Drosophila melanogaster: one gene and its partner. The protein of the gene in region 2 interacts with the protein of the main gene of each other region in a pairwise test. Each region holds a gene or a part of one and is shown on either strand. Other genes may lie near its edges.

Region 1 (7,244 bases), on a different chromosome or scaffold from region 2:
CTAGGAAAACTTAAGCAACTATAGATATTTCGATGTGAAATATATATCATATTATATTAAGCATTTTTATATGGTATTGTTAGCACGCGCTCAATATAATATTCAAGTACCTAAATACATTTTCTTCACTGTGCATTTTTGTATCTTATCAAAGACAAGGCGTGGTATCATTTACTTTTTCAGAGCTTATCAATGTGATTGCTTGTGGTTCGATACTTTATTGCCTTTCTGTTTATCAAGAAGCTAAAGTGTAAATATTTACGACCTTTGGAAACTTTGCAATTAAATTCGCCGTGCATTTATCCTAGACTCAAACCCAATTGCACTCGCCGCAAGGCGCGCATTTCAAAACTGCAATCGAGCATTTCTTATCAGAGTTTTGGGGCTTTGCACAAGCAACTGCAAAGCTGAAAAATATATATTTTATTTGAGGAGGAATATATATTTTTGGAAAATATAAAAACGGTTACCGGCTGAATAAAATGAATGGCCATAAAGCCTAATCTCAAGAACATTTATTGCTTGACCATCCAGAAAATTTAATTAAAAATGGGACCGTTTAGAATCTACTTGTGTGTGCTGCTATATATTTCACTATATTTCTTATCTTGGTGGAACTTTTTTTTTAGAGGCAGTTAACGGATTTGTGGGCCATTTACCCAGGCATTATGTATACATATGTATGATTTAATAGCTATATTTCTCCATTAAATCCACTGGCAGGGCATCCATTGGTGGGGGCCACTATCAGTTGAGCGTACTTTTGACTTTGAGCCAAATCGGCGCAGCTTATCAGTGACGTCCCATTCGCAGCTTACGATTCCCTGTCTTTCAATTGAATATATGTATATAGCTTTTCTGATTTCTGCACTTTGAAACGCCAATTGCGTAATGCAAAAAATGAGCAAACGAACAAAGAATCTTTTAGAAACATGACAATGACCAAAGATCGACATTACCTCCAAAATACTATACTTTTCGCACTCAAAAATCAGCATCAATCAGCCGCAGATTGTTTGCTTTCTTTTTAGCGACAGCGAATTTATTTGTTTTTAAATTAAAAATGTACTAAATGCCGGTCCCGAAAAATACACAAATGTATGCTATTTTATATACGCACATATGTATCTTTGGAATATATGAATGTATGTGTATATATATAGGTATATTGTTTAGACGAGACAAACTGAAACTTGTTGGCAATAACTTTTTGGAAAACCGGTTGCGGTTTTGATGGCATTGATATAGACGAAAGGGTTAAGAATTAGGGGAAAGGGGTAAGAATTTGGGAATGAGAAAACATCGATACAGTGATCTCTGCTTAATTAAGACAAATTCAATACGATGCCGATATATAGATATAGATAGATATAAAATAATATATCCAATAGAATTTTTATATGATAACCATCTAAAGCAGCTGTGCATAGAACTTTTGCGTATTAATTTAAGAAACATTACCTCCAAATATTTATTTTAAATAAATTTTTCAAATTTTAACATTTTTTTTTTTTTGAGACAACTTTTGTTAGTCACTGTTTATCTGCGATATATATATATGCAGCGTATCGCTTTTGTTTGTGATTGTTTTGACAACAAAACTGGCTTATGCAACGAACTGTTAAAAAAAAATCTGAAACAGAAAATTATGTGAACTGGCTGCACTTTGCTTCAAAGACCCCGCTCCCCCCTGCACTTTCACCCCCCGCATTGGGGGGATTATCAGACAAACCAACTGGATAAGATAGTAACGATAAGGAATCCAATTAGAACACGGCCATTCGGATTTACTAAAATCACAACTTTTGCCAAACGTTAGTAAATTATATTAAATTATATTGTAACTCCGATTGACACGTAGAGCGCAACGAACAACAGCAACACAAAAAGAAGCAGAAATAACGGGTAAAGGGGGTGTTTTGATGTGCTAATTGGGTTGCTAAACAGCTGTTGACGCCGCACAAATTGAGCACAAAAAAAAAAACAATAACACGGCACGCAATTCAATTAGGGAAACGCACGCAGAACGATAAACAAAATCAGGGTACTATTGTGTATTAGATTTTTTTTTGGGCGCACAAATCACTTTCACTGTCACTTCCTCGCTGCTCCCAATTAGAATTTCTCGGCCACTGTGTTTATATATATGTACATATATGCACATGCATATATACATATATACGTCGGCAGTTCAAGAGCAAAAAATCGATTTTTCGCTGCACTTTTTAGTCGTTTCACCTTGATGGGCGCAAGTGGGCGTGGCGATTATCTAACGGCGTTTGTTGTGATCCCAAGAACTTGCATAAACTTATTAATAAACGCGATATGTCTGTATATAAAATACCTAATAAAAACGTGTGTGCTTGCTTGGCTGCGTGTGTGTGCGCGTACGTGTGTGTGTGTGTGCGAATATGTGCGGCGTGCGAGCTCCAATCAGAATCGTATCAAAAATTCAAAGCTCTTTGGCCGCTAGACGCAATTAAGGAACTGACAACAAGAACTGAAACCGCACCGAGATGGAAAATGAAGTGCTGGCAGTATTTACCGACTATATGTTTTTCTTGCGGGCAAAAGTCACGATGAAGCGGGCAGCGATTAAGTTTTAAAAATATCACGTCTGCAGCCCTCGCAGCCAAACTTTCGATAGACGGCGATAGATCGATAGACCAGCGATTTGCACCAACACTGGAAAGCTCAGAGCATTCAAAAACAAACTAATGTGTTTTATAAATAGCTCTTTTTAAATATCGATTAATTGCGATCTTAACTAACTTTCGTTTATTTCTATTAATTATGAACTTACTTCTGTTTTTAAACATCTTTGCTCTTTGCTTGTTTTTCGTGTAAGGCTTTAAATTCACTTAAACAATTTTGCTGGCTTTGTGCGCATCTTCATATATCACTGAAATTGATTGTTATAGGAGTGTCCCATTGAATTAGTTTTGTGTCGATTCAATCCTGGCCCGAAAATGTATGAACAAGCTATGCCCTACATTTTACCCATAGTCTACTTAGGTTTGTTTATATAGTATTCTTTTCAAGTTCGTTATGATAGCTCTTAGAAAATAAGATTTCTGTGAATATCTCCTCCGTATAAAAGAATTTTTATCAATAGTTTGGTAAGCTTTTTTTTCTCTTCTACAAAACCTTTTCGCATGTTTTATTTCACTCGAAACTTATTGCTATTCAAAAAAATGGGTTTTCTAACGCTAGAATTATGTACAGAGTGCATTTGGAAAAAATGATGGGTAGTAAGCCCTAGAAAGCCATGGCTACGTGCTGATGCCCATGATGGATTCGATGGAGAAACTCAGCTTGGGCTTCTTGCCACTGCCGGTGGAGGCAGTGGTGACTGCGGGCGTGGTCATCGCTGGATTTGTGGGCGGGATCGTTAGCGGTATCGTCGGCGGCATCGGGTGATAAATGTGCTGCTCCTGATGAACGGGTGCGCAGGCGGCGGCGGCGGCGGCAACGGTGGCAAAGTACAAAGCGTTACCGCCCAGCGTCGCCTCCATGACATGGTTCAGTTCCGGATCGGCGAATGCCCGCCGTTTGCGCATGCGCTCCATCAATGGCGAGCTGAACGTGGGAAATCGCTGTTTGTATTCTGAAAGAGAACGAACCAAAAGGAATGGTTGAAATTAGTGAGGGTTTTGGTGGGGGCGTTATCACTACAAATTGCCGCGATTCGTTATGAATGGGTATTCCAAATTGAAACAATTTATTATTGGGTAATCCGAGACACGCGTCGCCTGACCAGACAGCCTGGCACCGTTTTTTTTTTTTTGTTTTTTTGTTTCAACTTCGGACCGGTTTCGGGATCTCCACTTATTCGGATGGAACCAGATGGAAAACCCAGAAAGAAGTCAATTGCTGTTGCCACATTTGGCTCTTTTTGTGAGTCGGATGGGTTTTTCCGTTTTTGGTCGCGTCTCAGCTTACCGAATGTGACTCCCCTCAAGTGATTGGAAAATGTGCGTACACTGCACACACACATTTCGAAGCATCCGATTTCAATTGTTTTTCGTCAGTCGAATAATTGCTGTTGTTATTGTTGGGCATCAGTCATTTCCTGTCCACGACCACGACCACGTCCATGGACAGAGGAAAAGAGACGGAAGATGGGCGGCGGGAGACAGGAGACTGGAGACCGGAGAGGATCTCCGATTACGAACGGACCAGACAGTCTGGCACCGTATGGGAAAGCGTGTGAGTAGGGAATGTACTTATCATTTCAGCTGTGTCGTCTACTTTACGACATCTAATAATTTCCAAATTGGAAAGTGTCTATTTGATTGCGGACTCATAGATAGATATCCTTTTTGATATGTACATAAATCCTTATTTATGTAGTCCCATACTAACCTTCCATGGCGGCTGTGATATGCAATGTGGATTGCTGCAAACTGCGTAGTCTCTGCTTGTAGATCCTCTTTTGGGCCATCAGAGCCTGTCGGGTGGCCGAGGATGAAGATGAGTTGCTAACGCAAGATGTGGGATGCGAATGCGAATGTGGATGTGAATGTGCCGGCGGTGGTGAAGTGGAGCTGAGGGAGTCCTCGCCCTCGCTGCTGCTGGAGTTGTTGGCACTGGCCGTTGTTACGCCCGTGGATTTTGTAGATGATGCGGTGGCCTCCAGAGCCTCCATGGTTTGCTGACGTCGCAGGGCCACCTGGGCGGCCATCACCCGCTGGCGATCGACGACCAGTTGGCAATTGGGGCAGCAGCATTCGCGCCAACGGCACAGACGCTTGTGACCCTTGACACAGGAGATGACGCCGTGATTGCGACACCTGGCGCACTTCGGCGTCCGCAGGAGACGTCGCTCCCGCTGGCAAATCCTAACACTGGCGTCCTTGCTCATCCTCGCTTGCTGATCGACTAAAAGGATGTGGAACGGGGCGCGAACATTTAAGCACTGGCAACCGCAGCTACTTGTCGCCGTCAGACTGTCTGGCAGCGTCAAGTGGTTTCCGTCGTCGTCGTCGTCGTTGTGTCCCCAGGGTATCCGACGCCCACGAGGTGTACTAGCATGAGGTACAACACAGCGAGCATGCAAGGGATCGGACTCGGGATCGGTTCCTTGCCTGCCATTGGCTGCTAATCGCTGGCTCTAAATATAGAAGATCCAATGGCCGCACAGATGTCTCGCATCAGCATGCAAAAGATACATTCGACTACAGGAGGAACTCATTGAAAGCGATTTCAAAGATTAGTAATATATACATATATAGCATATATATATAGGTTATGGATCACTTGCTTAATCAATTACTTGGGGCATCTTAAAGAATTTAAGAAGGTAAAAGTATCTGTGAATCTTCTATGGTTCTTTATAGGCATGTTTCACTATACCTTTCCAATCCGTACATCTTTGTTTGGACTCCGTGTTTCGTCAAAGTGCATATTGATTTCTGGCCTGTCTTCGTTTAATATCTTTATTCGTTTATTTGAGTCAATTTCGGTTTACGTGTATAACAATTTGTAGCATTCATTATCTTATATAGCACGTACACACATATATATATATGTATATATATATTTCCGTATAAATACAAATTCAACTCGAGTTTAGCCATATCGTTTCATTAGCTAATAGTACGTAAAAAAAAGAAAAAAAAATTCTCAGCGATTTATATACTAGAAGTTTTTAGGTGAAAGGACTTTCCATTTAATGCCTTTTAAATGCCTTCTTTATATATTTTTTGTGTAAATATATACATATATGCTTATATATACGGTGCAGCGCGTTTCACAAGTAACAATCTTTTAAATTTCGGAACAAATGATGGCCAACTGTTGGCGATTGTCAAATAATTTCGAATTCAGCCAGCTGTTTTTAATTAGGATATGTAATCGAACTTACCGCAAAAAGTTGTCAAATGGGAAATTGTGTTCTTCGAACCGAATGAATAAATGCTATTATCTCACTTCATACAATTGTGAAACGCACTGTCCCTCTGCATACATATATGTATTTTATATCCATTTAGTAAGTGTGATTCAAAAACGTTACTGAGTTCTATTAGAGGATTACATTGATTAAAGCTTGAGCTAGAAATGTGCCAGGTTTTCGATTCGATTGGTTGGTTGGTCAAAATGCAGGTGCGACTAGGAAAGTACTATTCGTGTATTCGAGTGCGTTCTATTATGGTCTCAGGATCATATACATTATGATCATCATATATTATAAGGTTGTAGCGGACAATCGGTTCATGTTAAAACGGGACCAACAACGAACTTTTGTTTAATGTTTGGTAATTATAATTACTTGTGTTTAACATGGAATCATATGGTAAATGCTTGCAAAGTTATTGTCCTTTACTGTTTAAAAAACGTTCTCTAAATTGAAATCTATGTGTGTATTAACGGTGCGTGTATATATATAACATTCGCTTAAAAAAGTTTTGATCCTTGAACCAACTAAATCTAAATTACAAAACACGCGGCCCTACAAAAAATTTGAACGAACACAAATCACAAAAGTACAAACATTACATATGGTACCTATATATCATCAATAATATTATTAGTATTATTATTAATATTTTATATCGACTATGGATTGTAGCTATCGTAAATACTTTGATTTCCTTCGATACGATTCTCCGCTCTTGACACAGACGCACTCTGAATTCACTTCGTTTGCTATTATATCATATCACAATGCTTAAAGGGCTCGCCGCTTCTCGATTCTCGATTATCGATTATCGGTTATCGAGTTTTGTTCTCGATTTCGATTTGGGCTTCAAATTCAACAACGTTTGATTGCCAAACGACGATCTATCTATAGAGTTCTAATATAACAGGCTCACTGGTCGCTAGGCTAAACCATACAGCTCGCGAAATAATTGTATTTCCATTGGCTTTATCAATGCTATCATTATTGATTTTACTCCATTACGATCTCTATCTATCAGTTTTCATTGGATTTACCCAACGAGAATGGAACTTAAAGTGGGAAATTTGAGCTGCCAAGTGGCAGATGATTTGAAATGGTAAAATAATATGAGAGCTCTGAAATGTAGCCAAGTAAGATAAACAGGCCCTTTTTGGGACACACATCTACAAATGTTCTGTTTCCATAAACAAGAATGGAAATAAATATGCTATATAGAAATAATATCTAATAGATAGATAATGCCAGTTTATGCAATTATTTCGCTCGCTGTATGCGACAAATTTCAACAAGTGTGTGGACTCTTTTGTTTTCGTTTTTCAGATCGAGGTTGCATCATCATATA
Region 2 (7,719 bases):
ATCGGAGTCGACATCGAAGGCGGGATAGCCGTCCGTATCGCCGATGCCGCAGGACACCTTGATGATGGGCGCCTTTGACTTGGACTCCGGCACGGACCATAGCAGACCCAGTTGTTCCGGCATCGCTTTGTTTACCCGTTCTCTGGCGAAGAGATACCGGATCTCTTCCTGCTATCCGCTGGTTTTATTTATAAATTCGCACTCTTGCCGGCGGCACTCTTGCTTTTCTATTCTACCTTTCCACTTTTATATTGCTCTTTTTTTTAGCGCTGCGAAAGTTTTAGTTGCTCTTTTTTCCGATTGCTTGTTTGCGTTTGCCTGTCAAAATTCCGCCTGTGCAAAAATATTACTCGACTTTTGCCGGCTTTTCAACACAACCTGAAACTCGCTTACTTTCGAACTTTCTATTGAAAGTGAAGGAACTAGTTGAATGCCTGAACTTTGGGTAATTGTGCGACTTATATAATCAGCAGTCACGCATTGCACAACCCCAATCTCATTGGATCTTGGCCCGCAAAGTGGCGAAAAGTACGGAAACTCCGAAATTGTTGAATAACCAAGAATAAGCACGACTATGAGGGATAATTATGGAAAGTGTATTTAACGCTTTTTTTATGCCTGCTGCCTGGTTCTTTTGTTTTTCTTTTTTTTTTATTGTATTTTGTGGCTTCTCTTTCACTTCCACACGACTGCACTCGACTTGGGCAACTAAAATAATTTTCGAGAAGTTTTCCTTTGTGGCTGCATTTTTTCTATTTTCCCCATTCTCTCTCGCGCTTTTCCTCTGCTCCTCGTGGTCTGTTTTTCCTTTTTTTTTTTAGATAATGTGACGATGCAAAACTGTTGCATTCTTTGTTGCTTTTTTTTTTTGCCAAGTCGAAGCGTTTTTTGCTTTTGATTAAAGATCTTCTCAAATATACAAGTTTAAATTCACAAGTGCATTTGGTATTCATAGTCAAAGCATCAGCTGTTTTTTCTCTTTCCACTGTTATTAAGTTATTATTCATTGCTCAACAACGAGTATTAATTAAAGCTACGCATGCAAGCTAGTTTTATATTCAATCAAGAAAAGGAACTGGAGATGAAAGTAACAGATGATACCTTATAAATTTATTTATAAAATCACTACTCAAATACCAATTTGAAAATTCAAGCTTTTATAGTTCCCGAGATCATAGCGTTCATGCGGACAGACAGATGGACATACGGACATGTCCGGATATGCTAGTGATCCTGATCAAGAATATGTATACTATGTAGTTTCGGAAACGCTTTCCCTTACGTGTTATATACTTTTAAACGAATAAAGTAATTAATTCACGAGTAACATCCCAATTATTATCAACTAAGAAATGGTTAATTTAATTTACCTCTACCATAAAATCATATTTTAAAGCCTTTGCGCAGTTCATGTCCATACCCAACATCTTTGTGATGCACGTCAACTGCCAAGTTTAAAGCAGAATAAATAACTTGAACGTGCCAAGCTCACAGGCAAAGAATTCGACTTGTCAAATAAACAACAATGGAAATCAGAGTTCCATGTGTGGGAAATTTTCGGAGAAAGGCCCCAAAAAAGTGGCACACACCTGACAACGAAATTTCGATTAGCACAGGAAATACTACAAATGTGGATATGCTCATGTGTGTGATATGCATGTTTAAGGAATAGTTCGTACACATTTCTTTGACGTGGCCATAAAAGAGTGAACAAAACGTGCCTTATCAGCCGCAAAGCTGCAACAACAACAAATGGTGACAAACAAAGGGAGAAAACCGTAGGCGATTTTTTCGAGAAAATTTTTCAATATCCCAAACGTCGGAAAGGGCGCAAAATGCAGATGACACGAATCACAAAAAAGACTTCAGAAAACAAAAAAAAACAATTCGTTTAGCATATATGCATAGTTTTTCGTACGGAAACTAAAGAACATGCTGTGGTCAATTTCCTCGACTAACAGATACCCTAGCTTCAGTTTCAAAGAGAAGTTTCAAAGTTGGTTATAAGTATCGATCGAAATTCTCCAAAAGATTTTGTTGGTAATATTACAAAAAAAAATTTTATATTTCTAAATCCTTATTAACAAGATATTGGTTACCAAAGCGTTCTAAAATCACTTCAAGAATGCAGACCTTTTTTTAGTTCTCATGAGTAAATCATAAATTCAAAAGCGTAAACAAACATGAAACTGACATTTTTGCTCTGAGGTCAGACAACTTTGACGACTGCTGTCGTGATAAGGATGGTTTTTACTGATAATGAGGTAGATGACTAATGAGACAGGGGTTTCATGACTGAGGGAAACAAATTTCAGAAGAATTTTTAAATTTTTAGAATTCTTCTTTGCTTTTATTTAATTTATGAACGGTTGTATTGCTGTAGACGACCGGACTCTGGTAGAGTTTTACAAATCGCATACATATCCCTTATTTCAATTCTAGAATCTAGGGTAATACCGTTCTCCAAATCTCTGAAATCAGCATTTGGGCAAATCGTGGCCAGGAGCCCTATATTCCTGTTCCTCTCACCAGACCTGCGCCTTCTGACAGCGGACTCCGATTCTTCCTCGGATGCCATGATCAGCATAGAAGACGATTCCATTGAGCTGTCCATTTTATCGTTAACATTCTCATTGCTACCATCCGTGAGCTCATCATCTTCCGTGCTGTTACTAGTGTCCTTGGTAGCTCGCTTGCTGATAGTTTTCTCGATACTGCTCTTCAGATTCTGCTGCTTCGATAGCTCACTATAATCATTATACTCGGAATCCGATTCGGAGTCCTCCCAAATTGGGGGCAAAGGAAGTGCCGCGCTCAGCACAATGGCGGAGATTAGGAACAGCAAAACAGATCGACGCATCCCGGTAATCTTTGTATATCCTGGTAAACTCCACTATTCCACTAGCTTGATGGGTGGGTTCTTCTCGCTGAGACTGATTTTTTCGAACTGATTCTGGACAGCTGCACACGTTACCGGCGAAGCCTCAACAAATGTGCTATCGCCTCCTCGGCGATTATGTGATTATAGACTCAAATTCAATTGAGTCAGGCAGATAGTGGGTTTCAGAAATGACTCTTTATAATGCATGTAGATTGAAACAGACGCACTTAGTCCCTTAAAACAGACACGTAATGCATAATTTGACTTACACAATTAAATAAGCTAAGTTTCAATGTTAGGTGAGCTAATTTCCAAATGCATTTCAAGTAATGAAAATTGTAATAGTTAAATAATATGGCAAAATTAATTATTAGAAGAGGAAAATATTTCTTGTTGCTGATATTTATACGTGTTACTCGTAAACTTGAATAAACACACCCCATAAGTTAAAAAGTAAATAATACATAGGCAATAGCCTAATCTCTTGTTTTGATGACTCAGTCATTATAATAATAGTAAAAATGTAATATGGCTACGAAAACATAAGCTATAATGTTATTTATGTTTATTCAAAATCATTCGGCATAGGTGGCCTCGTTGGCCTCTTTGGAGCTAACCTCCATGACCTCGCATCCCTGGGCGTAGTCTTCGATGCTGGTGTTGTCCTTGTCCTTCAAAAGCTCCGCCACAGCCTGCGCCATCTGCTCGTCCAGTTCCTTCTCAGCCTGGGCATCCAGGTCCGGCGCATCGCTGGATTTCTGATCGGCAGCCTGGCGTCTTCGTCTAGACTCCCTTTGCTTACAAAAGCTTACGGCCCGGTCATATGCAGATTGTAGATTGAAATTCTTAATATCGAATTCTTTCAGTGACTGGCAAAAGGATCGCACCATCGTATCCTCCGTGCTTCTGCGTTTCCTAGCAGTGTGCTCCGTAGTTGTTTCTTCTACCGCAGCTGGTGTTGTCTTTTCCTCGGAGGAGGAATCGCCGGAGCTGTCCGCCTTGTTCTTGGCCTTGTCTTTGGCTTTGTCATTATGCTCCTCAGATGAGCTGCTGGCATCCTTGGCAGATCGTTTGATAATATGGATTCCGGTGCTCTCGTCCAGGTCCTGCAGTTCACCGCTGTCTTCGCTCAGCGTCAGCATCTGCTCCAGCCAATCCTCCTCGGATTTGGTTAGTCTTGAGGGCAGAGCCACTGCAGCACAGAAAAGGATGGCTGACACGGCCAGTAGTAACAGTGATCGCTGCATTGATCTAGTCCTTGTGGTATAACCTTTTAAGGTATGTAAACTCTCCTGTGCTCCTCTAGGCACACTTTGCGCCAAGACCTTATTTTGCAAACTGACTACGACCGATGGCAAAGATTTGCCAAGAAACCTCAAAAGTTCGTTTCTGTCCAGATTTTCAGATTACGGGTGCAACCGTAATTAAAGCTTCCATCAAATGCGAATGTATAAATACATATATTTCATATAGATTGCACATAACACTCTCTCCCATTTTCAGTTTCCGCGGCACTGCGCAATTTCCGAGTTTGCGCCAATTGCGAGTCCAGAAATCCAGACTCACTTGCATAATTCATGACAACAAATTGAGAGGCTGTGGAACGCGATGCACTATCGAGCTGCCAAAGTCAGGCCTGATAAGCCCACGGATCACTACAGATCATCCCGACGCGCAATTTGTAATTATTGATGCTACTTCAAAACAGATGAGCAAAAATGTATAAGTATAATCCGAGTACACAGCAAGCAAAAAATGTAAATTTACCAGTCACAGGTAATATTTTTGTATTCAGAATTATTTTAAAACAAATTTAAACACTCAAAATCTTGTTGAATACATAATATTTTTTTATTAGCTTTACAATTTTGTTTTATAGATAAATTCCTTAATTAAATATATATATAATATATATGTTAACTCATCTAATCTTTTAATGCTTTTCAGTGAAATCCATATTTGTTTTTAAAGAACGACCCACATAAATTGAACTTCTAATCTAAACAGCATATATATGTATATATAATTTCTGGGAAAAAATATAAAATTAAATTTATTAATGAAAAAATGAATTCCAAAGAGCTCCATTAAATCAAAAAATCCGAAAGTTAAGCGCTTGCCTATTTCTTCTTTTCATATAAGTAAAAGTAAGTAAAACGAAAACTTTTACCATAAAATTGTTTATCATTTTTTAATCTGTTCGATTTGTGTATCCAAAAGACTATCTTTTCCCGCGCTGTGTAGAGAAACACTCGTAAATTACAATTTTGCCGGCGCAACGTGCCAGCGTAATTGAAGCGTTTCGTGGAGGGAAAGTCAAGTTCAAGAGTTCTCCTAAGTATCCGACAGATACTGTAGACGCCTAAGCCAAAAATGCCACTTAAGACAGATAAGCAAACAAAAAAAAAAAGTGAAAGGATTCCCGAAAAGTTTCGGACTGAATGATAAATAGCAAAAGGATTCCCTTTCGGTTTCGCCGAAGAAGACGTGAGACGACTGGGAAGTGCGTCCACCGGTAGGTCACATGTGTCCACTGATGAGTGCCCAGTAGGGGCAATTATAGTGTCACCGGTGTTTACCCGACTATTAAATATCCATCAGAAAGTTGGCTATTATTCACCTGAAGGCGCGGCAATGGCAGCGTCTTAAATAACATCGAAAACAAATTTATTTAACAGCCATCAAAGGGGATTGGCCCATTGCGTCTGTCATAAAAAAAGTTATTTGCCCTCTTACTGCGGATCCAACTTATTGAATATGATTCCCAGATGTCCTCCGCAACATCAAAGGGAAAGCAGTGGATTGGGTGGAGCAAAGTCGCAGGCTCATGCATAATTTAAAGCAATTTGGCATTGTGCTGAATCAATTTCCACGCCCAGACAATCAAACGGAAAGTATTAAGACCCGAAATCCATTCCACGTGCTGCAGTGCTTCCCATGCAAATTATACTCTTCAGCACTGCAGCACTTTTATGTAAATCCTTGCTCCAGGCACCAGGTGCCGCTGCCCAAAATGGCAGTGAATTAAAGCGCCGACATTTTGTCATATTTATTAAAAATTTATCAATGTCATAAAGTTTACCGCACCCGGACAAAAAAAATTCCAAGAACACACGCACACAATGGGCAACGATCAATCAACTTTAAAGCCCTCGCAAGATTTACTTAGGTCCTCCAATTGGACCCCAGATGGTGCTTAAAGTCCGGCAGTTTCGCCTTAATTCCACACAAAGTTCGGTAATGGAGCTGTAGTTCTTAAAAATAAAAAATCGCCTTCTTATTAAGACTAAAGAATCTGTTTACACAAGTTCATATCATTTAAATTCATTTTGTTTATTGCTTAAGAACGTTTAATCTAAATGGATATAGTATTAGTATGTCAAGCCTAAAAGTATACCAGTTTTTCTTTAAATCAAATGCGTTCATTTATAACTTGTACTGCAAGAGCTTTGCAAAAAGTATTGGATATATGTATTTATTATTTATATATTTAAATTTTAATTAATCCATATTGACATAAACTTTTTATTACCTATTATTTAGCTTGAGTTATTTGTCACAATAAGATAGAAACTCAAAAACACAACACACCCACAGGTAACACAAAATAAACACACACAAAAAAATATAAAATAATAAAAACATTTAAAAACAACAAAAACACCAAAAAAAAAACAAAACACACACACACATTAACACCAAAAATGTCCCAGAATCATGCCTCTACGGAAGAAGTCTTGCACGTGGTGGAGGCCATCGAGGCAGGTGAAAAATCCGAGGTAGACACTGTTCCAGTGGTTGTGCCACCAGAATCAACAGCTGAGCCCGAAGTGATCTCCAAGCCAGAGGAGGGCAACCAACCAGCTGGCGATGAGCCGCGGGAGGAGAAGCCACAGATCGAATCTGGCGCAATTACCGCCCAGGTGGCGACGGAGGAGGGACAGGAAGCGGAAACCACCGAACACGTAGCTATCGAAGCAACTGAGCTTGGTAATGAAGTGCAGCAAACGGAAGCATCAGATGAACTATCGCCAGAAGAAAAGAAACTGAAGCTGAAGAAGGAGCGAAAGGAGCGTTTGAAGAATTTCGCAACCACTCGCTTTGCACCGACAGCAATCGAGAGCCCAGTTCATTTTACACCGGAATATATGGAAGAGATCAGGGATAATGAGGTAGAGGAAGAAGAGCAGGAACAGGTAGTCACCTTTGATGAGCCCACCATTGGAGACGGGGAGTCTGTGTCCTCGTCAGTTCTCACCGACGACTCAGAAGACTATCCATTCCATCCACCCAAATTGGTCAGCCTATTCCCCACCTATGGCTTCTCAGATGGCCCCGCTGATAGAAACATATTCCAATCGGATGTGAAGTATGAGGACATTGATTATTCGGTTAGTTTGACTGGCATAAGCATTGTATCGACAAGAACGTTAAAAACCGAATGCGATCCGGATTCAGTCCAGTTAAAAACCAACTTTCTGAGGGACTTTGATGTGCCCAGTCTGTCGGACATATCGGAGGAGCACGACGAGTCTTCACAGTCATTGGACGCTGGGTCGGTGATAAGCGTCCAGCAAGATCATGGCTTCTTTGCGGATCCAACGTCGAACATGGACTCCGGTTCCAGCTCGTCGTCGGAATCGATTGGAGACGTGGACAAAGAGCAACAGGCTGAGGAGGCGGCTCCAGAAAGTGAGGTCGACTCTTTCGATGTCTCCGACATACCGGAATTCGATGAAATTCCAGTCGTAAAAAGAGTGGAACAAAACCAAGATTCTATCGATGCATTCAGCACATTGTCAAAGGTTGCCTTTGCAGTTCCCGAGGTCCGAGACGAT

The links. The genes of interacting proteins can lie anywhere in the genome.
Region 1: the proteins of CG10799 (region 2) and CG1640 interact in a two-hybrid assay, tested with the Drosophila melanogaster proteins (one large-scale study listed by BioGRID).

What each region holds. Positions count from the first base shown.
Region 1 is NC_004354.4:13,366,362-13,373,605, reverse strand, and holds the start of CG1640 (uncharacterized protein), read right to left. Parts: upstream 3,001-7,244; 5' UTR 2,820-3,000; coding exon 2,804-2,819; intron 2,612-2,803; exon of another isoform or gene 2,080-2,611; intron 1-2,079. Other genes in the region: dmrt11E (doublesex-Mab related 11E), read right to left, coding at 3,273-3,607, 4,366-5,113, 5,356-5,406.
Region 2 is NT_033778.4:13,253,092-13,260,810, reverse strand, and holds CG10799 (uncharacterized protein), read right to left. Parts: upstream 2,926-7,719; 5' UTR 2,861-2,925; coding exon 2,360-2,860; 3' UTR 2,334-2,359; downstream 1-2,333. Other genes in the region: CG42319 (uncharacterized protein), read right to left, coding at 1-123; CG4716 (uncharacterized protein), read right to left, coding at 3,457-4,128; CG4714 (uncharacterized protein), read left to right, coding at 6,586-7,719.